Anolis sagrei: one gene and its partners. The protein of the gene in region 4 interacts with the protein of the main gene of each other region in a pairwise test. Links are inferred from orthologs where the notes say so. Each region holds a gene or a part of one and is shown on either strand. Other genes may lie near its edges. The genes, in order: POLR2J, CCDC33, TSC22D4 and POLR1C.

Region 1 (7,188 bases), on a different chromosome or scaffold from region 4:
ATGATCTTGTGCTCCAGCGGGTGGGGGACCTTGTAGCCCGCAAACAGCACCTGCGGGTCCTTCAGCAGCTGCCTGCAAGGAAACACCAGAGGCACTCCAAGTGGCCGGCTTCTGTTCAAAGGACATTTTGTCCTGATCTGTTGTTTTCTAGAGAAGAAATTACCTCACAGACTGACTGGAAGGGCTTTATTTCTCAAAGTATACAGTATGGTTACAAACAAAGTTCCATCTGACAGTTGGTTTCCCTCTCACCTCATATCACAGACCACCTACTACATTTAATACAATGCCAAGTTATTAAATTTGTGGTTTTAAATACATTATAACTGTACCTTCAACTCGCTTCTGACAGGATAAATAAATAAATTTTAATTCTCTGTGATATGGGGAAGCTTCCAAAGCTTTCATGGCAAAATGCAAGAGCCATCGTCGTTGTCATCATCATCATCCTTAGTGAAATGTGGAAGCTTCCAAAGGCTTGATGGCAAAATGCAGGTGTCTTATCCTCATCATCATGACCCCTCTTTACTTACGATTTAATGATGTTCCCGAGCGTATGGTCTTCCTTGTTAATGGTGAAGAGGCAGGCATTGGGGACTTTGGTGTCCTTGTTGATGGTAATCCTGGAAGGAAAATAAACCAGGAAAAGCCTCAGGCACATATATAGACAGCTCAGTATCAATATGAAGACAATATTTGAGAGGTCACTTTAAGGAGATAGCTTTCTCTTGAAATAAGGATCCAATGGCGGAATGGGATCAAATGGCAGGAAAAGAGATCCCACCTCAACATGAGGAAGATGGTCATAAGATATAAAAGAATAATAACATAATATATAATAAATAATATAATGTACAGTAAGAATAGAATAGGAAAGGGTAAGGATAAAACCACAAATAATATGTCACCTCTAGACTGGACTACTGCAATGCGCTCTACGTGGGGCTGCCCTTGAAAACGGCTCGGAAATTCCAATTGGTCCAACGGGCAGCAGCCAGGATGTTAACGGGGGCCCATTACAGAGAGAGGTCAACCCTCCTGTTTAAGGAACTCCACTGGCTGCCGTTTATTTTCCGAGCCCAATTTAAGGTGCAGGTGCTTACCTACAAAGCCCTGAACGGTTTGGGACCACCCTACCTGCGTGACCGCATCACAGTCTACGAACCCACACGCTCACTCCGGTCATCAGGAGAGGCCCTGCTCGTGATCCCGCCCGCGTCGCAGGCGCGTTTGGTGGGGACACGGGACAGGGCCTTCTCTGTGGTGGCCCCCCACCTCTGGAATGCCCTCCCGAAAAATCTCAGACAGGCCCCTACCTTGGCGGTTTTCAGAAAGAACCTGAAAACCTGGCTGTTCCTACGTGCCTTCTCAGATTAGGACCCCCACTACCAAAGCCCAGAAGCACTTTAGTAGAGTCAAGATCACCCTCACCGCACACTGCACTTATATTTTAATCCCATATCCCTCCGACACTTCAGCACTTTTTAACCCTGTACCTCACTCTGGCCGGCTCAGTTTTTAATAATGTTCTGTTGTACTGCTACTGTTATTGTTTTCTGCTTTAACTGTTTTAATTTGCTATGTATTGTATTGTTGTATTGTGTTGGGCTCCGGCCTGTCGTAAGCCGCATCAAATCCCTTGGGAGATGCTAGCGGGGTACAAATAAAGTTATAATAATAATAATAATAATCTAATTTAAAATAAGAATTATATATTTATATTATAGAAATAAAAAGAAGGTATATGTATAAAAGAAAAATAAAATAATATCCAATCTAATAAATAATATAACATAGTTTAGAGTAATAATTATATAGGATAATATACAATATATACATAATATAATAATAAAATAAGAATAGAAAGAATATATATTAAAAATAAGAATATGAGTATATGTAAGAATAATATAAAATAATATGTAACAATAAATAATATAAAATAATATATATATATTCTAATACTACAAAATACTATAAAATAGAAACAATATATAATACTATAAAATAAAATATAAATATATCATAAATAATATAACAAAATTTAAAATAACTATTATTACATAGTAATGATGTAAAACAAGACATATATATTTATATTGTAATATGCATATATAATAATATAAAAAAGAATAACATATATAATACCATAAAATATAAAACTAGACTATATAATATAATAAATAATATAACAATTTAAAATAATATATTATATATAATAAAATAATAAACAGTAATATAAAAGAATACTATAATACTAGATATAGGGGTAATATCATGAAATATATATATATTATAATATAAAAATAATATGACTATATATAATAAATAAAATAATTTATAATATGATAAATAATAAAACAATTTAAAATAATATATATTATATATAATACAAAATAATACATAGTAACATAAAATAATACTATAAAACAAGATATAGGTGTAATACTATAAAAGAAGTATATAGATTATATTATAAAAATAATATAAAATAAGAATAAATAATATAATATAGCAATTTAGAATAATAAAGATGTGCATGTTATAATATAAAATAAGAATTATAGAAATATAGTATAAAATAAGAATTTACAATATATATATAATATTAATATAACAATTTAAAATATTAAAATATAACAATATAAAATAAGAATACATCGATATCATAATAATACTATATATATATATATATATATATATATATTACTATGAAATATGAATGAAATAATTATCTCTATCAAGGTACAGCCTTTAGGCCCGCTTCTCTGGTAGTTTTGCCACAGAGACAGCCCGGCCATCTGTCGGGACGGGTTGGATGGTGCCCCGCCTGCCTGGCCACAGCGGGGGTGGGCCTGGGTGGTCTCTGGAGGCCCCTATTATCCCGGTGGAGGGAACTCACTTTTTCTCCCCTTCGAAGAGCAAGAAGGACTCAAAGGCCGGAGGAGCGTTCATGGCTGGCGCTGGTCTTTCCTGGCGCTTCCGGCTCCGCCCCTTCCGGTTCTTCCGCGCTAAGGGCGCGAGCGTGAGGCCTCTTCTGGCCTTCCTTCCTTGCGCGCGCCCCCCCTCTGGAGGCCCCCGGCGGTACTGCAGGCTCTTCGTGGAGTCAGGTCAGGGCCCTCCCTCCTCCCTCCCTCCAGGTCTTTGGGACTTCAGTTGTGAGAGGATTTCGGAGGTGGGGGGGGGGCTGAAGCCCCCCGAGCCCCCCCCCCCCGGCTACATGCCTGTAGACAGACATAAAAACAGATAGATAGATTGTCAGATAAATAGTCAGATAGATAGACAGCCAGGGAGTGTGATAGCTAGAAACACATAGATAAATAGATAGATAGATAGATAGATAGATAGATAGATAGATAGATAGATAGATAGATAGATAGATAGATAGATAGATAGATGTTCAGATAGATAGATAGATAGATAGATAGATAGATAGGCAGTCAGATAGATAGGCCAATAGATAGATAGATAGGCCAATAGATGATAGATAGGCCAATAGATAGATAGATAGGCCAATAGATGATAGATAGATAGACAGTCAGATAGATAGTCAGATAGATAGACTGACTATCTGATATAGATATAGATCATCTGATATAGATCATCTATTGGCCTATCTATCTGACTGCCTATCTATCTGACTATCTATTTATCTATCTGAACATCTATCTATCTATCTATTTATCTAATTTTATACATGACTATCTATCTATTTATCTATCTATGTGTTTCTAGCTATCACACTCCCTGGCTGTCTATCTATCTGACTGTCTATCTGACTGTCTGTCTATCTATCTATCTATCTATCTATCTATCTATCTATCAGACTGTCTATCTGATAGATAGATAGATAGATGATAGATAGATAGATAGTCAGATAGATAGATGGATGGATGGGTGGATAGATGGATGGATTGGATGGATGGATGGATAGATAGACAGACAGTCAAGTAGATAGATAAATAGATTGATAGTCAGATATATAATCAGATAGATAGATAGACAGTCAGATAGATGGATAGATGGATAGATAGATCGGCAGTCAGATAGATAAATAGCTAGATAGTCAGATAAATAGTCAGATAGATAGATAGGCAGATAGCTAAGCAGTTAGATATATAGTCAGATTGATAGATCGATAAATAGGTCGATAGTCAGATATATAATCAGATAGATAGACAGTCAGATAGATAGATAGATAGATAGATAGTCAGATAGATTAATAGATAGTCAGATAGATTAATAGATAGTCAGATAGATTAATAAATAGTCAGATAGATAGATAGACAGATAGATTGATAGATTTAGAACCTCCGAATAAATAGACAAACTTGAATTGGAAAATGACCCAGTAACGGTCCAAGACGATGGAACGGATAAGGACTTGAATGAGAGGACATAGTTTTTTTGTTTTTAAAATTGTTATTATGCCCTATCTTTATGTTTAAATGCATTATAATGGTTACTTTTGTTTATCAATGTATGCATTTTTATGGCATCGAATTGTGCCGACTGTGTATGCCGCTCTGAGTCGCCTTCTGGCTGATATGGGCATGGCAGAAATAATGCAAATAAATAAATAAATAGTCAGTTAGATAAATAGATAGATAGCTAGGTAGATAGATAGTCAGATAGATAAATAAATAGATAGTTAGGCAGATAGATATATAGTCAGATTGATAGATAAATAGATCAGTAGTCAGATAGATATATAATCAGATAGATAGATAGACAGACAAATAGTCAGACAGATAGGCAGTCAGATAGATAGATATAATCAGATAGGTAGATAGCTAGAGAGACAGATAGGCAGTCAGATAGATAGATAGTTATAGATACATCTATTTGGTGAAGCAGGGGAATGCTAAATCAACCTAAAAGTCAATCTCTCCAGATTCGATTTCAAAAAAGAGACAGATAGATAGATAGATAGATAGAGAGAGAGAGAGATAGATAGATAGGAGGCCAAATATGTGTCTCTTGAAATCAATGTCTCTATCTTTCTGCCTATTATTTAATAGATGCAGATGTGGAAGGCCTAGAGCCGACCTCCTGCCTTTCCCCATTCTGATGCGGCCCTCCTCCTCCTCCTCCTCCTCCTCCTCCTCCTCCTCCTCCTCGAGGATTATGGGCTTTGCTGTCCGCTGACCGGATCTGCCTGACGTGAGCTCTGCGTAATCCGGACACCCACCCATTCACTCAGCATCTGGCACTCTGGAAACCAGCAGCAGTGCCAACATCTGGAGGACTTTAAGCCCCGGAAAGCGAGGACATCCTGGGCACTCGGGAGAGCGCCTTTGCTTTTGTTTTTTATGAATGCTCCCATTAGAAAATGCATAAGGATGTGGGTGAACTACAATTCCCAAAATTGTGGGTCAGTCCTCCCTAAAGTCTGTCATTATTTACAGTTGGGTCTGTGCGCAAAGTTTGGTCCAGATTCATTGTTGGCTGGCTTCAGAGGGCTCTCTGAATATGGGTGAACTATAACTCCCAGATGCCAAGGTCAATCACCCCCAAACCCCTCCAGTAGGCAAAGTTGTCTGTGTTGGGTCTGTGTGCCAGGTTTGATCCAGATCTGTCATTGGTGGAGTTTGAACGCCTCACTTAATACAGGTGAACTATAACTCCCAGATTTCAAAGACAATCATCTCCTAACCTTTAGGCACAGTCATGTTGTCTCTGTGTGCCAAGTTCAGATCCCTTGTCGGCTGGGTTCAGTGCTCTCTGGATAAGGGTGAACTACAACTCCCAGAATTCAAGGTCAATTACCCCTCACCAGGACGTAAAGTGTGTGTGTGTGGGGGGGGGGGGGGTTCTGTGCCCCAAATTTGTTGTAGGTCAATCATTTGTGGGAGTCACAGTGCTTTCTGGAAGTGGATGAAGGTACTTCAAATCCCATCATCCGTGGTCCATCCTCCCCCCAAACCTCACCAAGATGTAAAGTGGGTCTAACCCCATTAGTGAGTGAAGGTACTGCAAATCCCATCATCCATGGTACAATCTCTTCCAAACCTCATCAGGACATAAAGTGGGTCATGGGGGGGGGGTGTTATTGCGCCAAGTTTGGCCCAGGTTCGTCATTCGTGGAGGTCGCAGTCTGTGGCAGTGAGTGAAAGCGCTGCAAACACCATTATCTGTGGTTCATCCTGCCCCAAATTGCACCAGGATGGAAAAAAGAAGGAAGGAAGGAAGGAAAGAAAGGGGGAAAATAGGTAGGAAACAAGGAAGGAAGAAAGGAAGGAAAGAAGGGAGGAAGGAAAGGAGGTAGGGAGGAAAGAAAGGGAAAGGGAAAAAAGGAAGGAAAGGAAGGGAAAAAAGAAAAGGAAGGTAAGAGGGAAAGGTAGGGGAGGGAACAAAAGAAAGAAGAGAAGAGGAAAAGAAGAGAAGAAAGGAGGGAGAGAAAGAAAAGGGGTAGATATGAGAAGAGGGGAGGAAAGAAAGAAAGAAGGAAAAAGAAGGAAGCAAGGAAAGGAAAGGTAAGGAGAGAGGGAGGAAAGAAGAAAAGAAGGAAGGGAAGGAAAGGAGGGAGGAATGAAGGAAAGAAAGAAAGAAAGGAAAGGAGGTAGGGAGGGAAAAAGTAAGCAAGAAAAGGAAAGAAGGAAGCAAGGAAGGAAGGAAAGAAAGAAAGAAAGGAGGTAGGGAGGGAAGAAGTAAGCAAGGAAAGGAAAGAAGGAAGCCAAGAAGGAAGGAAGGAAAGGAGGTAGGGAGGGAAGAAGGCAGCAAGGAAAGAAGCAAGGAAAGGAAAGAAGGAAGGAAGGAAGGAAGGAAGGAAAGGAGGTAGGGAGGAAAGAAGGAAGGAAGGAAAGGAGGAAGGGAGGAAAGAAGGAAGGAAAGCCAGAAGGAAGGAAGGAAAGAAGGAATGAAGGAAAAAAAGAAAGGAAAGGAGGTAGGGAGGGAAGAAGGAAGGAAGGAAGGAAGGAAGGAAAGGAGGTAAGGAGGAAGGAAAGGAACGAAGGAAGGAAGGAAAGAAGGAAGGGAAGGAAAGGAGGAAAGGAGGAAAGAAGGAAGGAAGGAAAGCCAGAAGGAAGGAAGGAAAGAAAGAAGCAAGGAAAGGAAGGGAGGAAAGAAGGAAGGAAGGAAGGAAGGAAGGAAGGAAGGAAGGGAGGTAGGGAGGGAAGAAGACAGCAAGGAAAGAAGCAAGGAAAAGAAAGAAGGAAGGAAGGAAGGAAGGAAAGGAGGTAGGGAGGA
Region 2 (7,029 bases), on a different chromosome or scaffold from region 4:
TAGGAAGTTTGAGCCAATTCTATCGTTGGTGGAGTTCAGAATGTTCTTTGATTGTAATGAACTATAAATCCCAGCAACTACAACTCCCAAAAGTCAAGGTCTATTTTCCCCAAGATCCACCAGTGTTCACATTTGTGCATATTGAGTATTTTTGCCAAGTTTGGTCAAGATCCACTATTGCGTGAGTCCACAGTGCTCTCTGGATATAGATGAACTACAACTCCCAAACTCAAGGTCAATACCCACCAAACCCTTCCAGTGTTTTCCGTTGGTCATGGAAGTTCTGTGTGGCAAATTAGGTTCACATTTGTGCATATTGAGTATTTGTGCCAAGTTTGGATGAGTCCACCATGCTCTCTGCATATAGGTGAACTCCAACTCCCAAATGCAAGGTCAATACCCACCAAACCCTTCCAGTGTTTTCCGTTGGTCATGGAAGTTCTGTGTGGCAAATTAGGTTCAAATCCATCGCTGGTGGAGTTCAGAATGCTCTTTGATTGTAGGTGAACTATAAATCCCAGCAACTACAACTCCCAAATTACAAAGTCAATCCTCCCCCAACCCCACTAGCATTTACATGTGGGTGCATTGGGTATTTGTGCCCAGTTTGGTCCATTGAATGAAAATACATCTTGCATATCTGATATTTACATTATGATTTATAACAGTAGGAAAATGACAGGTATCAAGTAGCAACAAAAACAACATTATGGTTGGGGGTCACCACAACATGAGGGGCTGTATTAAGGGGTCATGGCATTAGGAAAGTTGAGGATCACTGCCATAAGGTCACATCGGAATACCTAAAGATTCCTAGAACATCTCTCTCTGGAAATCTCTAGGTCCTCCAGATCTGACCAAGAGTCATTCTTGGTCAGATACAGTCATTCTGGAGGACCTAGAGACCCCTAGAGTGGGCTGACTGTACATACATTTCAGTTCCTGTGCATAATGTCATCCTTTACATCATGAATATTTCCTATTGTTGTTGTTGGATGCCATCAAATCATTTCCAACTTAAGTTAGCCCTAAGGGTTTTCTAGAGCTCATCCAAGGTCACCCAGTGGGTTTTCATGGCTGAGTGGGTGCATATACTCCATAGAATTAATTTGGTGTGACCTCAATTTCACTACCATTGCTCAATGCTATGAAATCCTTGATGATGTAGTTTGCTGAGGCACTGATGTGGTTGGGCAGAGAAGGCTGGAGATCTTGTCAAACAACATCTTCCAGGATTCAATTCCATATCAGTTAAAATGCACCCTATGTTTGTGTAGAATTACCCTATACATGCTGAGATATCTCATGATGTTTCCTGTATATCTCATAGTTGGGTGCGATCTCCAAGATATCTCATGATGTTTCCCGTGCATATCATACATGGATCCCATCTCCAAGATATCTCATGATGGATTCCATATATATGGTACTTGGGTCCCATCTCCAAGATATCTCAGGATGTATTCCATATACATGGTTCTTGGGTCCCATCTCCAAGATATCTTATGATGTATTCCATACATATCGTACTTGAGTCCTGTCTCCAAGATATCTCATGATGTATTCCTTATATATCGTATTTGGGTCCCATCTCCAAGATATCTCATGATGTATTCCTTATATGTCGTATTTGGGTCCCATCTCCAAGATATCTCATGATGTATTCCTTATATATCTTATTTGAATCCAATCCCCAAGATATCTCATGATGGGTTCCCTATGTATTGTACTTGGGTCCCATCTCCAAAAAATATCATGATGTATTCCATATATATGGTACTTGCATCCCACCTCCAAGATATCTCATGATGGATTCCATATATATGGTACTTGGGTCCCATCTCCAAGATATCTCAGGATGTGATATCATACATGGATCCCATCTCCAAGATATCTCATGATGTATCCAATATATATCATATTTGGGTCCCATCTCCAAGAAAGCTCATAATGTATTCCATATGTATTTGGATCCCTTCTCCAAGATATCTCATGATGTATCCCATATGTATTGTACTTTGGTATTGTACATATCTTATGATGTATCCCATATATATCGTATTTGAGTCCCATCTCCAAGATATCTCATGATGTATCCCATATATATTTTATTTGAGTCCCATCTCCAAGATATCTCATGATGGATTCCATATATATGGTACTTGGGTCCCATGTCCAAGATATCTCATGATGGATTCCTTATATATCGTATTTGGGTCCCATCTCCAAGAAAACTCATGATGTATCCCATATATATCGTACTTGACTCTCGTCTCCAAGATATCTCATGATGGATTCCCTATGTATTGTACTTGGGTCCCATCTCCAAGATATCTCATGATGTACCCCATATGTATTGTACTTGAGTCCCATCTCCAAGATATCTCATGATGTATCCCATATATCGTATTTGAGTCCCATCTCCAAGATATGTCATGATGGATTCCATATATATGGTATTTGGGTCCCATCTCCAAGATATCTCAGGATGTGTTCCGTATACATCATACATGGGTCCCATCTCCAAGATATCTCACGATGAATCCCATATATATCATGGACAATAATGCTGATGGAGTTCAATGCTCCAGCAACGATGTCATGCCAATTCCTTTTTCCCTTCCCAAGAAACGAAATGTTGTGACAAAAATTCACTCTTCTCCTAACCTGGGGGGTGTGGGGTTCCATGCTGAATAAAAGCGAAGTGGAAGTTTCTGAGGTGGAGACTGGATAGACCAAGCGAGGGACCTGCAGAGACTGGGAAGGAGACAGGGAACTGGTTTCCTCTCCCTCGGGCAGCTCCTCCGCCTTGGTGGGAGGCAACGGCGAGAGGCGGCGGGGCGTGATGGGCCTCTTCCTCTGGGCCACTGGTCGGTGCTCGTGGAAGGACACGGTGAAGGCCATCCTCCCGCAGTGCATGGCCAGATCGTCTGGACCCACTCGCAGCAGCACCAGGATGTCGCTGTAGCCATACACGTCTTCGTCTCGGCCGGCAAACAGGTTCATGCGCGGCTGGTTGGTGCGCGGGTAGATGGCAAAGAAAGCCTCGCCGGCCTTGATGGCCCCCTTCAGAGAAGACCCACGGAGGCGCAAGGCTTCGATGCGCAGGCGGGCATCGTGGTTCTTGTCGTTCTTGCAGAAACCTGTTTGTGAAATGAAAACCAAAAAGGTAAGGACAGTTATCCCTCCACATTTGCAATTGTGACTTTTATAGATTGGATTCTTCACAGGTTTGATTAAAATGTTATCACGAGGAATCTCTAGGTTAATGTCTCTCATCATAGGGGGTCGGGACCCGGGGGGGGGGTCATGAAGGAGTATCAGGGGGGTTGCCAAAGACCATCAGAAAATACAGTAATATTCTGTTGGTCATGGGGGACCCCCAAGGTCATATCTCTTGGTCATGGGGGATGCCTGGCTCGAGAGCAGTACGTGTGAAAAAGATCTTGGAGTCCTCGTGGACAACAAGTTAAACATGAGCCAACAATGTGACGTGGCGGCAAAAAAAGCCAATGGGATTTTGGCCTGCATCAAGAGGAGCCTAGTGTCTAGATCTAGGGAAGTAATGCTACCCCTCTATTCTGCTTTGGTTAGACCACATCTGGAATATTGTGTCCAATTCTGGGCACCACAATTCAAGAGAGATATTGACAAGCTGGAATGTGTCCAGAGGAGGGCGACTAAAAGGATCAAGGGTCTGGAGAACAAGCCCTATGAGGAGCAGCTTAGGGAACTGGGCATGTTTAGCCTGAAGAAGAGAAGGCTGAGAGGGGATATGATAGCCATGTAGAAATATGTGAGAGGAAGCCACAGGGAGGAAGAGGGAGCAAGCTTGTTTTCTGCTTCCCTGGAGACTAGGACGCAATGGAGCAATGGCTTCAAACTCCAAGAACTCCTGGTGGGTTCATAGGCAGAGATGCGGTCAGATAGGTAGCTTGGGCCGGAACTGTTTAGGGCTTTAAAGGCCAACGCCAGCACTTTGAATTGAGCCCGGTAGCAGATCGGCAGCCAGTGGAGTTGGCGCAACAGGGGGGTTGTATGCTCCCTGCGCTCCGCTCCTGTTAAAATCATGGCTGCCGAGCGTTGGACTAGTTGGAGCTTCCGAGCTGTCTTCAAAGGCAACCCCACGTAGAGAGCGTTGCAGTAGTCTAAGCGGGATGTAACCAGAGCGTGGACTACCGTGGCCAAGACTTCCCAAGATACGGGCGCAGCTGGTGCACAAGCCTAAGCTGTGCAAATGCTCCCCTGGTCACTGCCGAGACCTGGGGCTTCAGGCTCAGCGATGAATCCAGGATCACTCCCAAGCTGCGAACCTGATCAAGGGTCTGGAGAACTAGCCCTATGAGGAGTGGCTTAAAGAGCTGGGCATGTTTAGCCTGAAGAAGAGAAGGCTGAGAAGATATGATAGCCATGTATAAATATGTGAGAGGAAGCCACAGGGAGGAGGGAGCAGATCAGGGGTCTGGAGAACAAGCCCCATGAGGAGCGGCTTAAGGAGCTGGGCATGTTTAGCCTGAAGAAGAGAAGGCTGAGAGGAGATATGATGAGGGCCATGTATAAATATGTGAGAGGAAGCCACAGGGAGGAGGAAGGAGCAAGCTTGTTTACTCCTTCCTTGGAGACTAGGACACAAGGGAACAATGGTTTCAAACTACAAGAGAGGAGATTCCATCTGAACATTAGGAAGAACTTCCTGACTGTGAGAGCTGTTCAGCAGTGGAACTCTCTGTCCCGGAGGGAGTGTGGTGGAGGCTCCTTCTTTGGAAGCTTTTAAGCAGAGGCTGGATGGCCATCTGTCGGGGGTGCTTTGAATGCAATATTCCTGCTTCTTGGCAGAATGGGGTTAGACTAGATGGCCCATGAGGTCTCTTCCAACTCTTTGATTCTATGATTCTATGATTCTATATCAGCATAAAGTAAGAACATCACATCATTTTCTTCTCAGCTGTGATGACTCGCCGTAGTGCCGTGTTGCTGGGAAAGTCCACCCTGGCCCCGTCTCCGTTACTGGAAGGACCATGACTAAAGGCCAGGAAAACAGGGAAAGGGGGGCAGGTGAAGGATGACACCACCATCCGTGAACCGTTTGAAAATCCCCTGGTGGGACCAGATCAAAGGAAACACAACAATGACCTAATCCATGTCGGAGCTTCTGGGCCTCAAAACCAGGAATTCATTCCCATCATCAACGTTCTCTATCCTCTTAAATCAGGGCCGGGCCAACCTTCTAACTTGGGGACCACACTCCCTGCGAGGAGGACAGGAAGGAAGGGAAAGATGAAGGAAAAAGAGAAGGAAGGAAGGAAGAACAAAAGGGAGGAAGGGAAGGATGGAAGGGAAGGAGGAAGGAAAAAGAGAAGGGAGGGAGGGAGGGAGAGAAGGAGGAAGGAAAGGGAGAAGGAAGGAAGGACAAAAGGGAGGAAGGATAGAAGGGAAGGAGGAAGGAAAAAGAGAAGGGAGGAAGAGAAGGAAGAGAAGGAAGGAAGGATGAAAGGGAGGAAGGCAAGGAGGAAGGAAAAAGAGAAGGAAAGAAGGAAGTAAGAGGGAAAAGAAGGATGGAATGAAGGAAGAAAGGGATGGATGAAGGAAGGGAAGGATAAAGGAAAGAGAGAAGGAAGGAAAGTCAGGGGGAAAGGAAGGAAGGTAGGAAGAAAGGAAAAAGAGAGAGGGGGAGAATGCGAGAGGGAAGGGAGGGAAGAGAGAAGGAAGGGAAGACAAAAATGGAAGGAAGGGAGGAAGGAGAAAGAGGGGGGAAGGAAAGATGAAAGGGAAGGACAGAGGGAGGGAGAAAGAAGTCGGGAAGGAAGGGAGGGAGGAAAGGAGGAAGGAATGAGAGAGGGAAGGAACGATGAAAGGGAGGAAGAGAATGATGGAACGAAGGAAGGAGCAGACTGTTGAAGGAAGGATAAAGGAAAGAGAGAAGGAAGGAAAGACAAAGGGAAAGGAAGGAAGGAGAAAGAGAGGGAAAATGAGAGAGGGAAGGGAGGGATGAGAGAAGGAAGGAATGACAAAAGGGAAGGGAGGAAGGAGAAAGAGAGAGAGGGAAGGAAAGATGAAAGGGAAGGACAGAGGGAGGGCGAAAGAGATCAGGAAGGGAGGGAGGAAAGGAGGAAGGAATGAGAGAGGGAAGGAACAATTAAAGGGAGGAAGAGAATGATGAAACGAAGGAAGGAGCGGAATGATGAAGGAAGAGAAGGATAAAGGAAAGAGAGAAGGAAGGAAAGACAAAGGGGAAGGAAGGAAGGAAGGAGAAAGAGAGGGAGAAAGAGGGAATGAAGGGATGAGAGAAGGAAGGAAAGACAAAAGGGAAGGGAGGAAGGAGAAAGAGAGAGGGAAGGAAAGATGAAAGGGAGGAAGAGAATGATGGAACGAAGGAAGGAGTGGAATGATGAAGGAAGGGAAGGATAAAGGAAAGAGAGAAGGAAGGAAAGACAAAGGGAAAGGAAGGAAGGAATGAAGGAGAAAGAGGGAGAAAGAGAGAGGAAAGGAAGGAAAGACAAAAGGGGAGGAAGGAAGGAAGGAAAGAGAGGAAGGATGAAAGAGGGACAAATGGGGAAGGAAGGAAAGACAAAAGGAAAGTAAGGATGAAAGGGTGGAAGAGAAGGATGAATGGCGAAAGAGGGAATGAAGGAATAAGGAGGGAGGAAAGGGAGGGAAGGACAAAAGGGTGGAAGCAAGGAATGAGAAAGAGGAAGAGAGGGAAAGAAGGAAATGCGAAAGGGTGAAAGGAAGGAGAAAGAAGGAAGGAAGGAAAGAACGAAGGTAGGATAGGATGGTGAGAGAGAGGAGGGCCTGAGAAAAGAGCCCAAGGGGCCAGATATGCCCATACCTGCCTTCAATCATAGACTATTTGAAGTCTTGTTAAGTAGAGCTTCTATTGTGCCAGTATGACCAGTGATAAGGAACGCTGGGAGTTGAAGTCCAACTGCATCTTGAGGGTTCCCATCCCCTGGCTTATATTTTGGGCTTCGTTAAGCATAATGCCCAAGACCTTCTCATGAAATGAGATGGATTTCTGGCCCTGAAGGC
Region 3 (6,976 bases), on a different chromosome or scaffold from region 4:
GGGAGAGAGTCACATTCTCTCAGCCTTGGAAGGAAGCTATTGCAAGGAGATCTGGCCCGGGGAAACCTTAAGCGAGGGCCGTCCTGAGTCGGGAAGGACTTGAAGGCATGCAACAATAACGGAGGGAGAATCACCCAAAGGCATGGGACCATGATAGAGGAACCATAATAGAAGCTCTGGCTTTATTATGGTTCCACGCCTCTATGCAGAGACCCTCACTGATTGACTTTGCAAACTTCAGAGCTTCTATCTATTTATGGAATGTCCAGGCTCCCTCTATGCAAAATACCCTCAGTGATTGACTTTGCAAACTTCAGGGCTTCTATCTATCTATGGAATGTCCAGGCTCCCTCTATGCAAAATACCCTCAGTGATTGACTTTGCAAACTTCAGGGCTTCTATCTATCTATGGAATGTCCAGGCTCCCTCTATGCAAAATGCCCTCACTGATTGACTTTGCAAACTTCAGGGCTCTTAAAATGCTAATTCAAGCTTACCAACTGCAACAGACAAGGGTTCTTTCTCCCACCCTGTTTGGGAAGTGGCTAGGCTACCTCTATGCAGATATCCTTACTGATTGACTTCGCAAACTTCAGAGCTACTCAAATGCTAATTCAAGCTTGCTAATTGCAACAGGCGAGGGTTCTTTCTCCCATCCTGTTTGGGAGACGGCTAGACTATCTCTAGAGACTCTTACTGATTGACTTCACAAACTTCAGAGCTATGCAAATGCTAATTCAAGCTTGCTAATTGCAACAGGCGAGTGTTCTTTCTCCCACCCGTTTGGGAGCTGGCCAGGCTACCTCTATGCAGAGACCCTCACTGATTGATTTCACAAACTTCGGGGCTACTCAAATGCTAATTCAAGCTTGCTAATTGCAAGATGCAAGGGTTCTTTCTCTCATCCCATCTGGGAGCCGGCTAGGCTACCTCTATGCAGAGACCCTCACTGATTGACTTCACAAACTTTGGGGCTACTCAAATGCTAATTCAAGCTTGCTAATTGCAAGATGCAAGGGTTCTTTCTCTCATCCCATCTGGGAGCCAGCTAGGCTACCTCTATGCAGAGACCCTTACTGATTGACTTTGCAAACTTCAGAGCTACAATTTTGCCTGAAATCAATTGGGCCCCAAAGGCTTGAATACTGAACCCTGCTCCAAAACTCTATGAGGCCTGGATTTGAAACCGCACACTGGGGAGAGAGTCACATTCTCTCAGCCTTGGAAGGAAGCTACTGCAAGGAGATCTGGCCTGGGAAACCTTAAATGTGGGCCGTCCTGAGTTGGGAAGGACTTGAAGGCATGCAACCATAACGGAGGAAGATTATTGTGGGTTTTTTCGGGCTATACGGCCATGTTCTAGAGGCATTTCTCCTGACGTTTCGCCTGCATCTATGACAAGCATCCTCAGAGGTGAGGTCTAGGTTCTTGTGGGTTTTTTCGGGCTATAGGGCCATGTTCTAGAGGCATTTCTCCTCTTGCCATAGATGCAGGCGAAACGTCAGGAGAAATGCCTCTAGAACATGGCCGTATAGCCCGAAAAAACCCACAAGAACTGAGTGATTCCAGCCATGAACGCCTTCGACAATACAATGGAGGAAGACTCACCCAAAGGCTTGGAACCATGACAGAGGAACCATAATAGAAGCTCTGGCTCTATGATGGTTCCACGCCTTTGGGTGAGTCTTCCTCCGTTATTGCTCCATGCCTTCCAGTTATTCTTCCTCGGTTCCATGTTTTCGAGTTATTCTTCCCAAGACTTTGATGGTGCCAACCAGAGGACGTGGAGGACCACCTGCCCCCCAAACCCAGGCCCACCCCAAAGCCTCACCTTGCGTCGCTCATCCGTCTCCCTCTGGATCAGCTTTGAGACGCTCTTGGGCAGGAGGTGCTCCTCCACCACCAAAGTGGGCACGGTTGGGGCCCCAACAGAGAGGGTCCCGGGATCCCCGGCCTCTTTGGGGACCGAGGCCAGGGGGCTGCGGAGGGAGACCGGGCTGGGGGGAGTCCTGTGGGGCCGGACCATAACCGGGAGACCTCCGCCGAGGGAGCGAGCCTGGTGGCTGGACGTAGCTGGGGGCAACACCAGTTGGGAGTGCAAACCGGCGCAGGCACCTCCAAATCCTCCTCCTCTGCGCTGAGGTTGCGGGCTGAAGGGCCCTTGAGGATGGGTCAGCAGTCCAGCCACTTCCAGCCGGGAGTCCAGAGACTGCGGGTGTCGCCCGGCTTCGGCCAGCCGCCCCACAAAGGGGTGCTGGGGGTGGGATTCGGCTTCGGCGTCGTAGAAGTCCCGGCACGTCCAGCGGCCACGCTTGTAAGGCTCCCCGGGACCTGGGTCCAGCTTCACCACCCGGAAGCGCGAGCCGGACACCAGCGACGGAGCGGTCAACGGGGAGGTGGGGGCCGTGGGGCCATTTCTGGCCGCCCCACCGTTGCCGCCGTTGGCCCGCGGGCCAGCGTCCCCTTCTGCTTCCGTCCCAACCTTTGCGGCGTCCGCTCGTCCTTCTTTCTGCTCGTAGTCCGAAGTGACGCTGGTGATCTGGAACCCGCTCTTCTTCTTGCCTCCGCCGCTCATGGTCCTGGGGGCAACGAGGCGGGGGCTTCACCGAGGCGGCACCGTCGTTGTCCTCCTCATCATCATCATCATCGTCCCCAAATCCTGGCGAGGGGAGAGAGGAGGGTGGAATATCAGTATAGTCTAATTCCTATCGTTATGATTAGCAAGACACCAACGCAGTCCTGAAGCCGACCCCATGCCGGGGTCACAACACAAGGGGGTCAAAGGTCAGGGAGACCCCAACAGAGCTTAGAGATAGACAAAGCCTGGCTTGGGGAAGGGGAAGATTGGGGAGGGGGAAAAAAGAGGGTCTGTCTAGGGGAGGCCGCGACCTCGGTTGGCCCAAGGCAAGGCTGTTGACAAGGCGAAGCAACCGAGGAGTGACACCCGAAGCAGCAGAAGCAGCAGCAAGGAAGTCAGTCCGGCCCCTCCTTCCTTCCTTCCGTCAGTCCTTCCTTCCCAACCAGCTGACTGCCTGCCCCTCCCCTCCCCTCCCTTGCCCTCCCCCCAAGGCTGGCCCAGCCCCCCTTAACCCCTTCCTTCCCGGAGCCCAGCAAAGCAAGGCCAAGAAGGCCCAGAGAGAAGAAGCACGCACAGGTATGGGCCAAATTGGGCTCTCCATCCAGGTAGCTTGGACTCCGACTCCCACCATTCCTCACAGCCTCAGGCCCCTTCCTTTTGCCCCTCAGCCGCTTAAGCGGCTGAGGGGCAAAAGGAAGGGGCCTGAGGCTGTGAGGAATGGTGGGAGTCGGAGTCCAAAACACCTGGACGGAGAGCCCAATTTGGCCCATACCTGCCATGCAATGAATACAGTTTCACCCCACATTGCTACATTTATTTACACTTCCTTTTCTCTTTCCCAAAGGGGATTCAAAGTATCTTGACATATAAACATTAGTATACAATGTATTCTTGAAGGCTTTCCTGGGTTGCTGTTGAGTTTTTAAGGTCTGTACTAGCCATGTGCCAGCAGCATTCTCTCCTGATGTTTCACCTACATCTGTGGCTAATGGCATCTTCAGGGGTCTGTTCAGAAGCAAGGGGAGTCTGTCTATCGATTGATCTATCTATCTATTTATCTATCTATGGAATGTCCAGGCTACCTCTATGCAAAATACCAAACTACCCTCACTGTGCAAAATACCCTCACTGATTGACTCCAGCAGCATTCCCTCCTGATGTTTCAATCAGTGGCTAATGGCATCTTCAGAGGTTTGTTCAGAAGCAAGGGGAGTCTGGCTGTCTATCTATCTATGGAATGTCTGGGCTACCTCTTTGCAAAATACCAAACTACCCCTGTGCAAAATACCCTCACGGGTTGACTTTGCAAACTTCAGGGCTCCGCAAATGCCGATTCAAGCTTGCCAATTGCAACAGACAAGGGTTCTTTCCTCCCACCCTGTTTGGGAGGCACTGACTTTGCAAACTATCTATGGAATGTCCAGGCTACCTGTATGCAAAATACCCTCAATGATTGACTTTGCAAACTTCAGGACTTCTATCAATCTATGGAATGCCCCGTTTGGGAACCGGCTAGGCTACCTCTATGCAAAGACTCTCACTGATTGACTTTGCAAACTTCAGAGCTACTCAAATAGTAATTCAAGCTTGCTCATTGCAACAGGCAAGGGTTTTTTCTCCCACCCCGTTTGGGAACCGGCTAGGCTACCTCTATGCAAAGACTCTCACTGATTGACTTTGCAAACTTCAGAGCTACTCAAATAGTAATTCAAGCTTGCTCATTGCAACAGGCAAGGGTTTTTTCTCCCACCCCGTTTGGGAACCGGCTAGGCTACCTCTATGCAAAGACTCTCACTGATTGACTTTGCAAACTTCAGAGCTACTCAAATGGTAATTCAAGCTTGCTAATTGCAACAGGCAAGGGTTCTTTCTCCCACCCTGTTTGGGAGATGGCTAGTCTACCTCCACGCAGAGACCCTCACTGATTGACTTTGCAAACTTCAGGGCACATGTCTGTGTTTTGGATGAGTTGGGGACTCGGTGCGGCTTACGTGAGGCCGAGCCCAAATTACATCAGTAATCAAAACAATAACAACAACAATAATAATGGCATCTTCAGAGGTTTGTTCGGAAGCAAGGGGAGTCTGTCTATCCATCTATGAAAATGTCCAGGCTAGGTGCAAAATATCCGTGAAGGTATAGAGGTCTAAGCAAAATACCAAACTAACCCTGTGCAAAATACCCTCACTGATTGACTTTGCAGACTTCAGGGCTCCGCAAATACCGATTCAAGCTTGTCAATTACAACAGACAAGGGTTCTTTCCTCCCACCCTGTTTGGGAGGCATTGACTTTGCAAACTTCAGGGCTTTTATCCAACTATGGAATGTTCGGGCTACCTCTATGCAAAATACCCTCACTGACTGACTTTGCAAACTTCAGAGCTATGCAAATGCTAATTCAAGTTTGCTAATTGCAACAGACAAGGGTTCTTTCTCCCACCCTGTTTGGGAGATGGCTAGGCTACCTCCATGCAGAGACCCTCGCTGATTGACTTTGCAGCTTCCTGGCTACTTAATGCTAATCAAGCTCACTAATTGCAACATCTACCCTTGCTTCACAAAGACACGGGCTTAAGCGGCGGAGGGGGAAAAGGAAGGGGCCTGAGGCTGTGAGGAATGGTGGGAGTCGGAGTCCAAAACACCTGGACGGAGGGACCAATTTGGCCCATACCTGCCATGCAATGAATACAGTTTCACCCCACATTGCTACATTTATTTACACTTCTTTCTCTTTCCCAAAGGGGATTCAAAGTATCTTGACATATAAACATTAGTATACAGTGTGTTCTTGAAGGCTTTCCTGGGTGGAAGGCAAAAGGAAGAGGGGCCGACCAAGGGCAAGACGGATGGATGGCATCCTTGAAGTGACTGGACTGACCTTGAAGGAGCTGGGGGTGGTGACGGCCGACAGGGAGCTCTGGCGTGGGCTGGTCCATGAGGTCACGAAGAGTCGGAGACGACTGAACGAATGAACACACATACAATGTGTTCTTGAAGGCTTTCCTGGGTTGCTGTTGAGTTTTTAAGGTCTGTACTAGCCATGTGCCAGCAGCATTCTCTCCTGATGTTTCACCTACATCTGTGGCTAATGGCATCTTCAGGGGTCTGTTCAGAAGCAAGGGGAGTCTGTCTATCGATTGATCTATCTATTTATCTATCTGTGAAATATCCAGGCTAACTCCATGCAAATACCCTCACTGGTTGACTTTGCAAACTTCAGGGCTTCTATCTATCTATGGAATGCCCAGGCTACCTCTATGCAAACTACCCTCACTGATTGACTTTGCAAACTTCAGGGCTACTCAAATGCTAATTCAAGCTTGCTCATTGCAACAGACAAGGGTTCTTTCTCCTACCCCGTTTGAGAGCTGGCTAGGCTACCTCTATGAAGAGACCCTCACTGATTGACTTTGCAAACTTCAGAGCTACTTAAATGGTAATTCAAGCTTGCTAATTGCAACAGGCAAGGGTTTTTCTCCCACCCTGTTTGGGAACCGGCTAGGCTACCTCTATGCAAAGACTCTCACTGATTGACTTTGCAAACTTCAGAGCTACTTAAATGGTAATTCAAGCTTGCTAATTGCAACAGGCAAGGGTTCTTTCTCCCACCCTGTTTGGGAGATGGCTAGGCTACCTCCATGCAGAGACCCTCACTGATTGACTTTGCAAACTTCAGAGCTACTTAAATGGTAATTCAAGCTTGCTAATTGCAACAGGCAAGGGTTCTTTCTCCCACCCTGTTTGGGAGATGGCTAGGCTACCTCCATGCAGAGACCCTCACTGATTGACTTTGCAAACTTCAGAGCACATGTCTGTGTTTTGGATGGGTTGGGGACTCAGTGCGGCTTACGTGAGGCCGAGCCCACAATACATCAGTAATCAAAACAATAATAACAACAACAATAATTGCATCTTCAGAGGTTTGTTCGGAAGCAAGGGGAGTCTGTCTATCCATCTATGAAAATGTCCAGGCTAGGTGCAAAATACCCGTGAAGGTATTTTGCACAGGGTTAGTTTGGTATTTTGCATAGAGGTCTATACAAAATACCAAACTAACCCTGTGCAAAATACCTTCACGGGTTGACTTTGCAAACTTCAGGGCTCCGCAAATGCTAATTCAAGCTTGCCAATTGCAACAGACAAGGGTTCTTTCTCGCACCCTGTTTGGGAGGCATTGACTTTGCCAACTTCAGGGTTTTTATCTATTTCTGGAATATCCAGGCTACCTATATGCAAAATACCAAACTACCTCTGTGCAAAAATACCCTCACTGATTGACTTTGCAAACTTCTGGGCTTTTATCCATCTATGGAATGTCAAGGCTACCTCTATGCAAAATAGCCTCACTGGTTGACTTTGCAAACTTCAGGGCTTTCTCCTATCTATGGAATGTCCAG
Region 4 (7,107 bases):
AATTGCAGAGTGTTAATTTCATCACATTCATCCTCTGCAGAAGAAAAGAAAGAGACTGAAAACTCCAAACACAGCCTATGCTCTGGCATTAACTTCTTTTAGCACATAGCTTCATCAGTTTTGGTCCCCCTACAAATGCATACTTGGCTATCTTACCTTCACTTTTATATTCAAAGAGACGAGGATCTGCACAGATAGGGATCAGTCCTAAACGATGAGCCAAAATTTCATCCTGCACAATGGAGGTGTTATTATATACAAAGACCTTCTCAACAGCCATGGTTGGCACCTAAGGAAGAGACAATAAATCTGTTGCTAAGCAGAGATATTCAGCCACAGTATCGCAAAGCATCGGTCTACAATAAATAAACACATCTATTTATTTCAGCTGAATCTGTTTAGGGATTCTGAAGGTATAATGCTATTTGTTCATGCCATGTATCGAGAAGATCTAAAATATAAATCTACTGTGTAAATCCAAAGTCTTACTTTACTATATTAGGAGAGGCAAAACTCCCTTATTTCTAAGCAATATATCAAGCCTCCACAAGGAAACTAGGCAATTTAACACATTTGCCATGCATTTCCTGAAGGTCTGACCAAGAAAAGGTTAAACCATCTAGAACGTACCACTGATAATTGTAAAGACTTTACTTATAGTTAAATGACTGCAAATTAGGATTTTGCACACTCCACCAAGTTTAGTCTAAAGCAGTAAAAATTATAAGAAGCAGAAATTATCATTATTATTATTTATTTATTTTTATCCGCTTTTCTCTCACAGGTGAGACACAAAGTGGCAAACAAATGGTTAAAAAACAGAAATTACATAATACAAGAGTACAACATCATCCCCAACCCAGACAAATAAACAATAAACAAAACACTGTATAAACACACTACATAAACCATATATATAAAACCATATAAAATAATGACATTAATGGCCTCCATCAGGATAATGAAACAGTACCACACATCCCTCTCAATATTTCTTCAACATTTTATTTACTTCTAAGGGAAACTTCTGGAATAACTCAGAATGACCAGCTTGTACTTGTAAAAATGTAATTGCAGCCAAACCCAGCCAACTAAGTCATAACCCAGAGAAATGCCCCAAAAGTGCCTTATTACTCATTGTACTAATCTAATGAATACCTCAGCAAGCAAGATGCGTCGGAAAGCATTAGCAATTGCTGCATCAATCCCCACCATGTCAAACTCCAGTGTGCTTTCATCCATGCTGATGATATCTACTCTGAAATTCTGTAAGAAACAAACAGTTTCAAAACAGGCGTAGTCTTAAGGATAAAATATATTCACTGGAAAAGAACAAGAAGTAAAAAAAACTTCGCAATCAGGGATGTGTTTGAGTAATCGACACCACTGAAAAAATATATTCAGCTTACAATCAAATCCTCACATCAATTACTTTCTTCCAGTCTGTTTTAGGTGTATTTCTGCAAAAGAGAATCCTACAGCAGGAATGGGCAAAATGCAGTTCCCAGGCCATATGTATCCTCCAGATTTAGCTTGTGGGCCCCAGAGATACCAAGGTCAAAGGGAATTTTCTTTGTGTAGTGCACTTAACAACAACAACAATGCATTGTACTTGTTACCTGCCTCTCCACATAGCTTGAGGCAGGATACAACAATTATCAATCCCTGCTGAATTGAAATCTATCCTGTATCTTTTACACCTGGACCATAAATCCCTCCACCTCACAATAGACATGTCAGTACTACTGGCTGAACAAATATATACTATATAGATAAAGCAATTTCTAGAAACAAAACAAAGGTTCTAAATCTCTACTGGTTACTATCAAGATCTATCATGCTAGCCCCTCAAGATACCTAAGAAGAAGTACGCTCACCTTTTCAAACTTAGTTCTATCCCAAGCATCATCATATCCAGAATAATTCCCGGGAAAGTCTGTTGTGTGGGCCTGAAAAAAAGAGGGGAAGAGGTGATGCTTGGAACATATACATTGCAGAGAAAATCATAGGGTCAGCCTGAGACAGAGCTAGGAAAATCCCCCTAGTTCAAGCCATAGACAATTGAATTTGTGGACACAAGGGGCCAACTGAGCACTGAAAGTTATACTGTACAGGTTGAGGATCCCTTATCCAAAACGCTTGCTTGAGATCAGAAATGTTTTGGGATCTTTCAGTTTATGGAATACCTGTATTTGCTTTGACATGAATAATAAGATATCTTGGAGTCCAAAAGACCTAGAGGGCCCAATTAGTAGGTCTCACTTGATCTACTAATTTGCATATGGTTTCTGAAGCTACAAGGCCATTAAATTCTCGAGAGCAACACGTGTGAAAAAGATCTTGGAGTCCTCATGGACAATAAGTTAAATATGAGCCGACAATGTCATGCGGCGGCAAAAAAAAGCTAATGGGATTTTGGCTTGCATCAATAGGAGTACAGTGTCTAGACCCAGGGAAGTCATGCTACTCCTCTATTCCTTCCTTGGTTAGACCACATCTGGAAGACTGTGTCCAATTCTGGGCACCGCAATTGAAGGGAGAGGTTGACAAGCTGGAATGTGTCCAGAGGAGGGCAACTAAAATGAACAAGCGTTTGGAGAACAAGCCTGAGGCTGTTGGGAATGGTGGGAGTTGAAGTCCAAAACACCTGGAGGGCCCAACTTGGCCCAGGCCTGCTTTAGCTTTCGCCTGTCCGGTCTGGTTTAGAGTGGAAGATGCCACAGCATTGATCCCCAGCTGTGAAAGTGGCGCCAAGCGGCACTGATTCCTCCTTGGTGGCCCCTCTGTGAGCTGAACCAGCTGTCTTCCCTGGCCTGGCTGTGGCGGGGATTGGGTCCAAGGCAGGCCTCCTGGAAGTGCCCCTTCGCTCCCCCCCTGCTGCTGCTGGTTCCCTTTCTCCCTTCCCGACTTACGTTGCGGACTCCGAACTCGCCCAGAACCACTCGGCTCCGCATCTCCTCCACGCTCCCGGGCGCCGCCATCTTGGAACCAACGTGAGCCGGAGGAGAAAAGATCAACTTTCCAACTTCCGCCGGATGTTTTGGTTTTTTTTTTTCAGAAGCGACGCTCTCTTGGGGTCACGTGACGCGGCGCGTAACCTTTTGGACGCCATATTGTGTGTGGCGCTCCTTCGCTGTAGAATTCATGCTGCTTGAAACCCCTTTCACTGACAAGGCTCTCAATACTCATTAATGATGGGAGCTGTAGTTTTATGAGGCACCACTCTTTAACAGAGAGGACAAACTTTGCCTTTTTTTCGCCCGTTGTCGCTAAGCTTGTCCAGGAGGACAACTAAGATGGCGCCAGCGACAGGCCGCCTGCCGTAAAATATCGCGAGAGGGGCCGCGCCTCCACGTCCTCAGCGCCGCTGGGTGTCACATCCGGGTCCTTCTCGCTTCGCCTTCAGTTGGGCCCTGTTTTCCTGCCTCTCCTCTCAGGGAAGCGGGAGCGTAGGCTCCCTCGCAGCCGGAGGGAAGATGTCCGGATCCGGAGGCGTCCCCTCGGGGTCGGCGGCTGGAGGAGCCAGGGCTGGGCCTGTGGCCGAGTGGGGGGCCTTCGAGGACAACATGCAGGTACCTTTCGGCATTGGAGTTAGCCCAGAGACCAGGCAGGGGCAAACTTGGCCCTCCCTTCCAGGTGTTTTGGACGCCAACTCTGCTTCAAAAACGTCAGGCAGGAAAAGCCCCTGTTTTGTAAGGTCCCTTCTACACTGTCCTTATGTTCCAGAATCTGACCCCAGGTTGAACTGGATTATATGAGTCTCCATTGCCAGATGATCTGTGATAAGCAAATAATCTGGGATCAGGTCCTGTCATATAGAACAATGTAGGAGAGAGTGTTTGAGAATGTACTTATTTAGTTGGCTTAGTTAGGAGTGAGTCCTCTAGTAGATAACCACCTATTGAGAGGTAACTTCTTAGCTTCAAAACCTGCTGGAGTTCCTTTAGGTGCTCCTAAAATGTATTAGGAAATACCATGTTTACTTGAGTCTAATGCTCCCCCTTTTGGGGACTAAAATGGCTATATAGTCCAAATTGATGTGTTTGTTAGATTCAATGGTGCATTACACTTGAGTACATACGGGTAAAAATAGCAGTGTCCTGTTCAAGTAGTTCTAAGCACTAACTTATGGAAATGCCTTCTGGTAACTGTCTGTTCATTTGGCCAACCCCAAATCTGGTGTTTTTAATGTAATGATAACAGAATTGTACATTATTTGCCCAAGTCTAATGCTTGTCTTTTTTTTGGATAAATTACACAGCTAAAAATTAAAATGTGCATTAGATTGAATGACCCATTATGCTCGGGTGAATATGCTACGTTTTTAAAATATATAAAGGAGAGAGAGAGAAAAATAAACATAACAAATAAAGTTTTTGAAATAAGAGATCAAAGGGGTTGTTGCCGAAGGAAGCTCTAGAGCAGAGCTTTCCAAACATTTCATGGTGACACACTTTTTAGACTTCACTTTATTTCTTAATTAGTCACTCTCCACCAAGGTGCTCCGAGCGACTTACAATCTAAAATAGCATTTACACAATATAAAAACATTCAACATAAAAACATTCAACAGTGACTATTTGGCAAATTAGATCTGATTACTTAAATGCACAACCAAACAGCCAAGTCTTGAGTGCCTTTACAAAAGGTCGCAACTCCGACAATGCTCTAATGTATGGAGGCAATGAGTTCCACAGAATTGGAGCATGCATCATTTTGTGCCACTAATTCAGTTTCACTGGAAAACCAGAGTTTAAACCATCCTTTTATAACCATATAGTTTTAAATATATATCATTATGCTTACTTTACATACTCAGAGGTTTCTCATTACATTCACATAACACACCTACACACTGCAACCAAGACACTATAATATATCATGACATTTTGGAAAGCTTTATTCTAGATACTAAAGGGATGAGCCTCAGTGCTGATCTCCGGATAGATTGCACTAATTTTTATTATTAGTGGTATTTCTATTTATAATATTGAATGTATCTCCAATGCAACAATTAAATGTAGCTTGAAACTACTTTAACTGCCATGCCTTAATGCTATGGAATTCTGGGAACTGGAGTTTTAAAAGGTCTCTGCTGAATAGTGTTGATGCCTCACCAAACTATGACTCCCAGATTTCTATTGAATTGAGCCACAGTAATTACATTGGTGTCAAATTGCATTAACTACAGTTGAGATGTACCCATTATTAACAGGAACTTTGAAGTGATGTCAGTATTGGTTCAAATTATGAAAACATCATAAGGCTGATTTAGTTCTCCTTATTCATGCCTGTAATATACTTGTAAGATAAAACTACAGAAATGTTAAATTTGAGTAATATTGTCGGATTTGAGTTGTCAATACAGCTTCTCTGCAATGACATTTGTGTGGCTGACCTTTCCAATGGCATGCACTTGCTCTAGGCTTTCTTCTTTAGGCACAGATTTAGTTATTGTTGTGGAGCTATTGCCTTGTCAGCTTTGATTACACAAACAACTGAAAAAGCCCTGCAATTGCAACAGCTATGGAAGACATATGTGCAAGTGCCACTTTCTAACTCATGTGGATGATACCTTTTATTTAGTCTTTTAAATTTTCTCCCATTTTGGAAAAGGGCTTCCTCTTTAAATGGTCTCTTTTTGCAATTGTATGTTGAAGTCATCGAATTACACACAGAATTGGACAGATTCATGAGTTAAAAGGATTCCACATATTGTTATCCCATAAACAATAATTTTTCTAGTACAAATAGAAAAGATTATTAGGTTTTTTCTGCCAAAATTCTTGAGTTAACTAATTGAATGTTTTGATTATCCGTTTGACCCCAGGTCTTCAAATGGCAGTCTGTTCTGCCTGCCCAACCTGATCATATGCATGTTTCATAGCTTCCATTTCAATAGACTTTATTCAATTCCATACAATTTTAGTTATACCATGAATTTATAATAATCTTAAATAATCACTAGTTCCATGGTCTAACTTAACTAACCTTCCTGTCTCCATAGCACTATAGGCTGTAGAAATATCTCTTCCATCTGAAAGGTTATTTATTGTAGAAATATACGCTCGCTATGAAGCAATAAACTTTTGACTGTCAGTCTGGTTTGGGTTAATCTCTGATCTACCTTGCCCTTCAAGATATTGTGGGGATGACAGTCCAGTGTATCTGGAAAAACAAAGATTTCCCACAACTTCAAGCAAGCCATTTGGGTTTGATACTATGTTTGTCTAAAGGCATTGTTTTGACACTAGTTTGTAACGGTCTTGAAAATAGAAGGCATGCCTCTAATGTTTGTTCTCAGATCCATAAAATGGTTTCAATTTGAAATCAGGAGTAAGATCTCTTGCTTCAGCACACATTCCCAGAAACCTCTTGTCACAAAACATTGATGGGATAAGTGGTTTTTGTGGGGTGGAAAGAGGAGTTTTGTGCTGCAAACCATCCCAGAACTCCACTCTGCCAACATATGTTTTAAACGTTTAGACCTCCTATGGTAATGCACAGAAATGTGACATTTCTAGAGGGTTTGAAGCCTTTGGCGGATGGGGGACATTGATTTGTCTCCAATTCTCAAAGTAATCTTGTTCTTATAGCAGCAGGGTACAACTACAGAATCGCTAATTTAGTCTCCCCCATCCTAAAATGTGAGAACAGTATTAATCACTATAGAAAAGCTTTAGGTCAGAAGAGGGCAATTGTGGGACTATATTGGAAACCGTATGCATATACCCCTGGTGTGCACTGGTTTGGTGTTGTTGTTTTTTTTAAAGTTAGGATTTTTTCCAGTGAAAAGACTGTCCAGGAGACTAGGGAGACAATTTCACCTTCTTTTGAGCCTAGTGAATTTTCCCCCAAGTTCTGATTTACTTTTCCTCAACCTAAAACAGCTTGCAGGAGTTCACAAAGTCATTGGACTTCCTTCCTTTTATTTTTATCTAATGCAGTGGTTCTCAACCTGTGGGTCCCCAGAAGTTTTGTCCTTCAGCTCCCAGAAATCCTAACAGCTGATAAACTGGCTGGGATTTCTGGGAGTTATAGGCCAAAAGGGGACCCACAGGTTGAGAACCACTGATCTAATGGATCTAAATGTCCTCAACTAGAAGG

What was found.
Region 1: the proteins of POLR1C (region 4) and POLR2J interact in binary tests that used the Homo sapiens proteins (3 or more experiments, as listed by UniProt). The link is inferred for Anolis sagrei from reciprocal best matches to the Homo sapiens genes POLR1C and POLR2J.
Region 2: the proteins of POLR1C (region 4) and CCDC33 interact in a two-hybrid assay, tested with the Homo sapiens proteins (2 studies listed by BioGRID). The two-hybrid records come from large-scale screens. The link is inferred for Anolis sagrei from reciprocal best matches to the Homo sapiens genes POLR1C and CCDC33.
Region 3: the proteins of POLR1C (region 4) and TSC22D4 interact in binary tests that used the Homo sapiens proteins (3 or more experiments, as listed by UniProt). The two-hybrid records come from large-scale screens. The link is inferred for Anolis sagrei from reciprocal best matches to the Homo sapiens genes POLR1C and TSC22D4.

The regions. Positions count from the first base shown.
Region 1 is NC_090031.1:24,263,200-24,270,387, forward strand, and holds the start of POLR2J (DNA-directed RNA polymerase II subunit RPB11-a), read right to left. Parts: upstream 3,012-7,188; 5' UTR 2,956-3,011; coding exon 2,903-2,955; intron 624-2,902; coding exon 534-623; intron 73-533; coding exon 1-72. UniProt on the Homo sapiens protein: Core component of RNA polymerase II (Pol II), a DNA-dependent RNA polymerase which synthesizes mRNA precursors and many functional non-coding RNAs using the four ribonucleoside triphosphates as substrates.
Region 2 is NC_090029.1:300,474-307,502, forward strand, and holds the start of CCDC33 (coiled-coil domain-containing protein 33), read right to left. Parts: upstream 3,007-7,029; coding exon 2,668-3,006; intron 1-2,667.
Region 3 is NC_090026.1:2,044,080-2,051,055, reverse strand, and holds the start of TSC22D4 (TSC22 domain family protein 4), read right to left. Parts: upstream 3,021-6,976; 5' UTR 2,576-3,020; coding exon 1,832-2,575; intron 1-1,831.
Region 4 is NC_090021.1:49,747,931-49,755,037, forward strand, and holds the start of POLR1C (DNA-directed RNA polymerases I and III subunit RPAC1), read right to left. Parts: upstream 3,027-7,107; 5' UTR 2,982-3,026; coding exon 2,913-2,981; intron 1,950-2,912; coding exon 1,878-1,949; exon of another isoform or gene 1,858-1,877; intron 1,267-1,857; coding exon 1,159-1,266; intron 290-1,158; coding exon 157-289; intron 35-156; coding exon 1-34. Other genes in the region: protein YIPF3, read left to right, coding at 3,477-3,572. UniProt on the Homo sapiens protein: DNA-dependent RNA polymerase catalyzes the transcription of DNA into RNA using the four ribonucleoside triphosphates as substrates.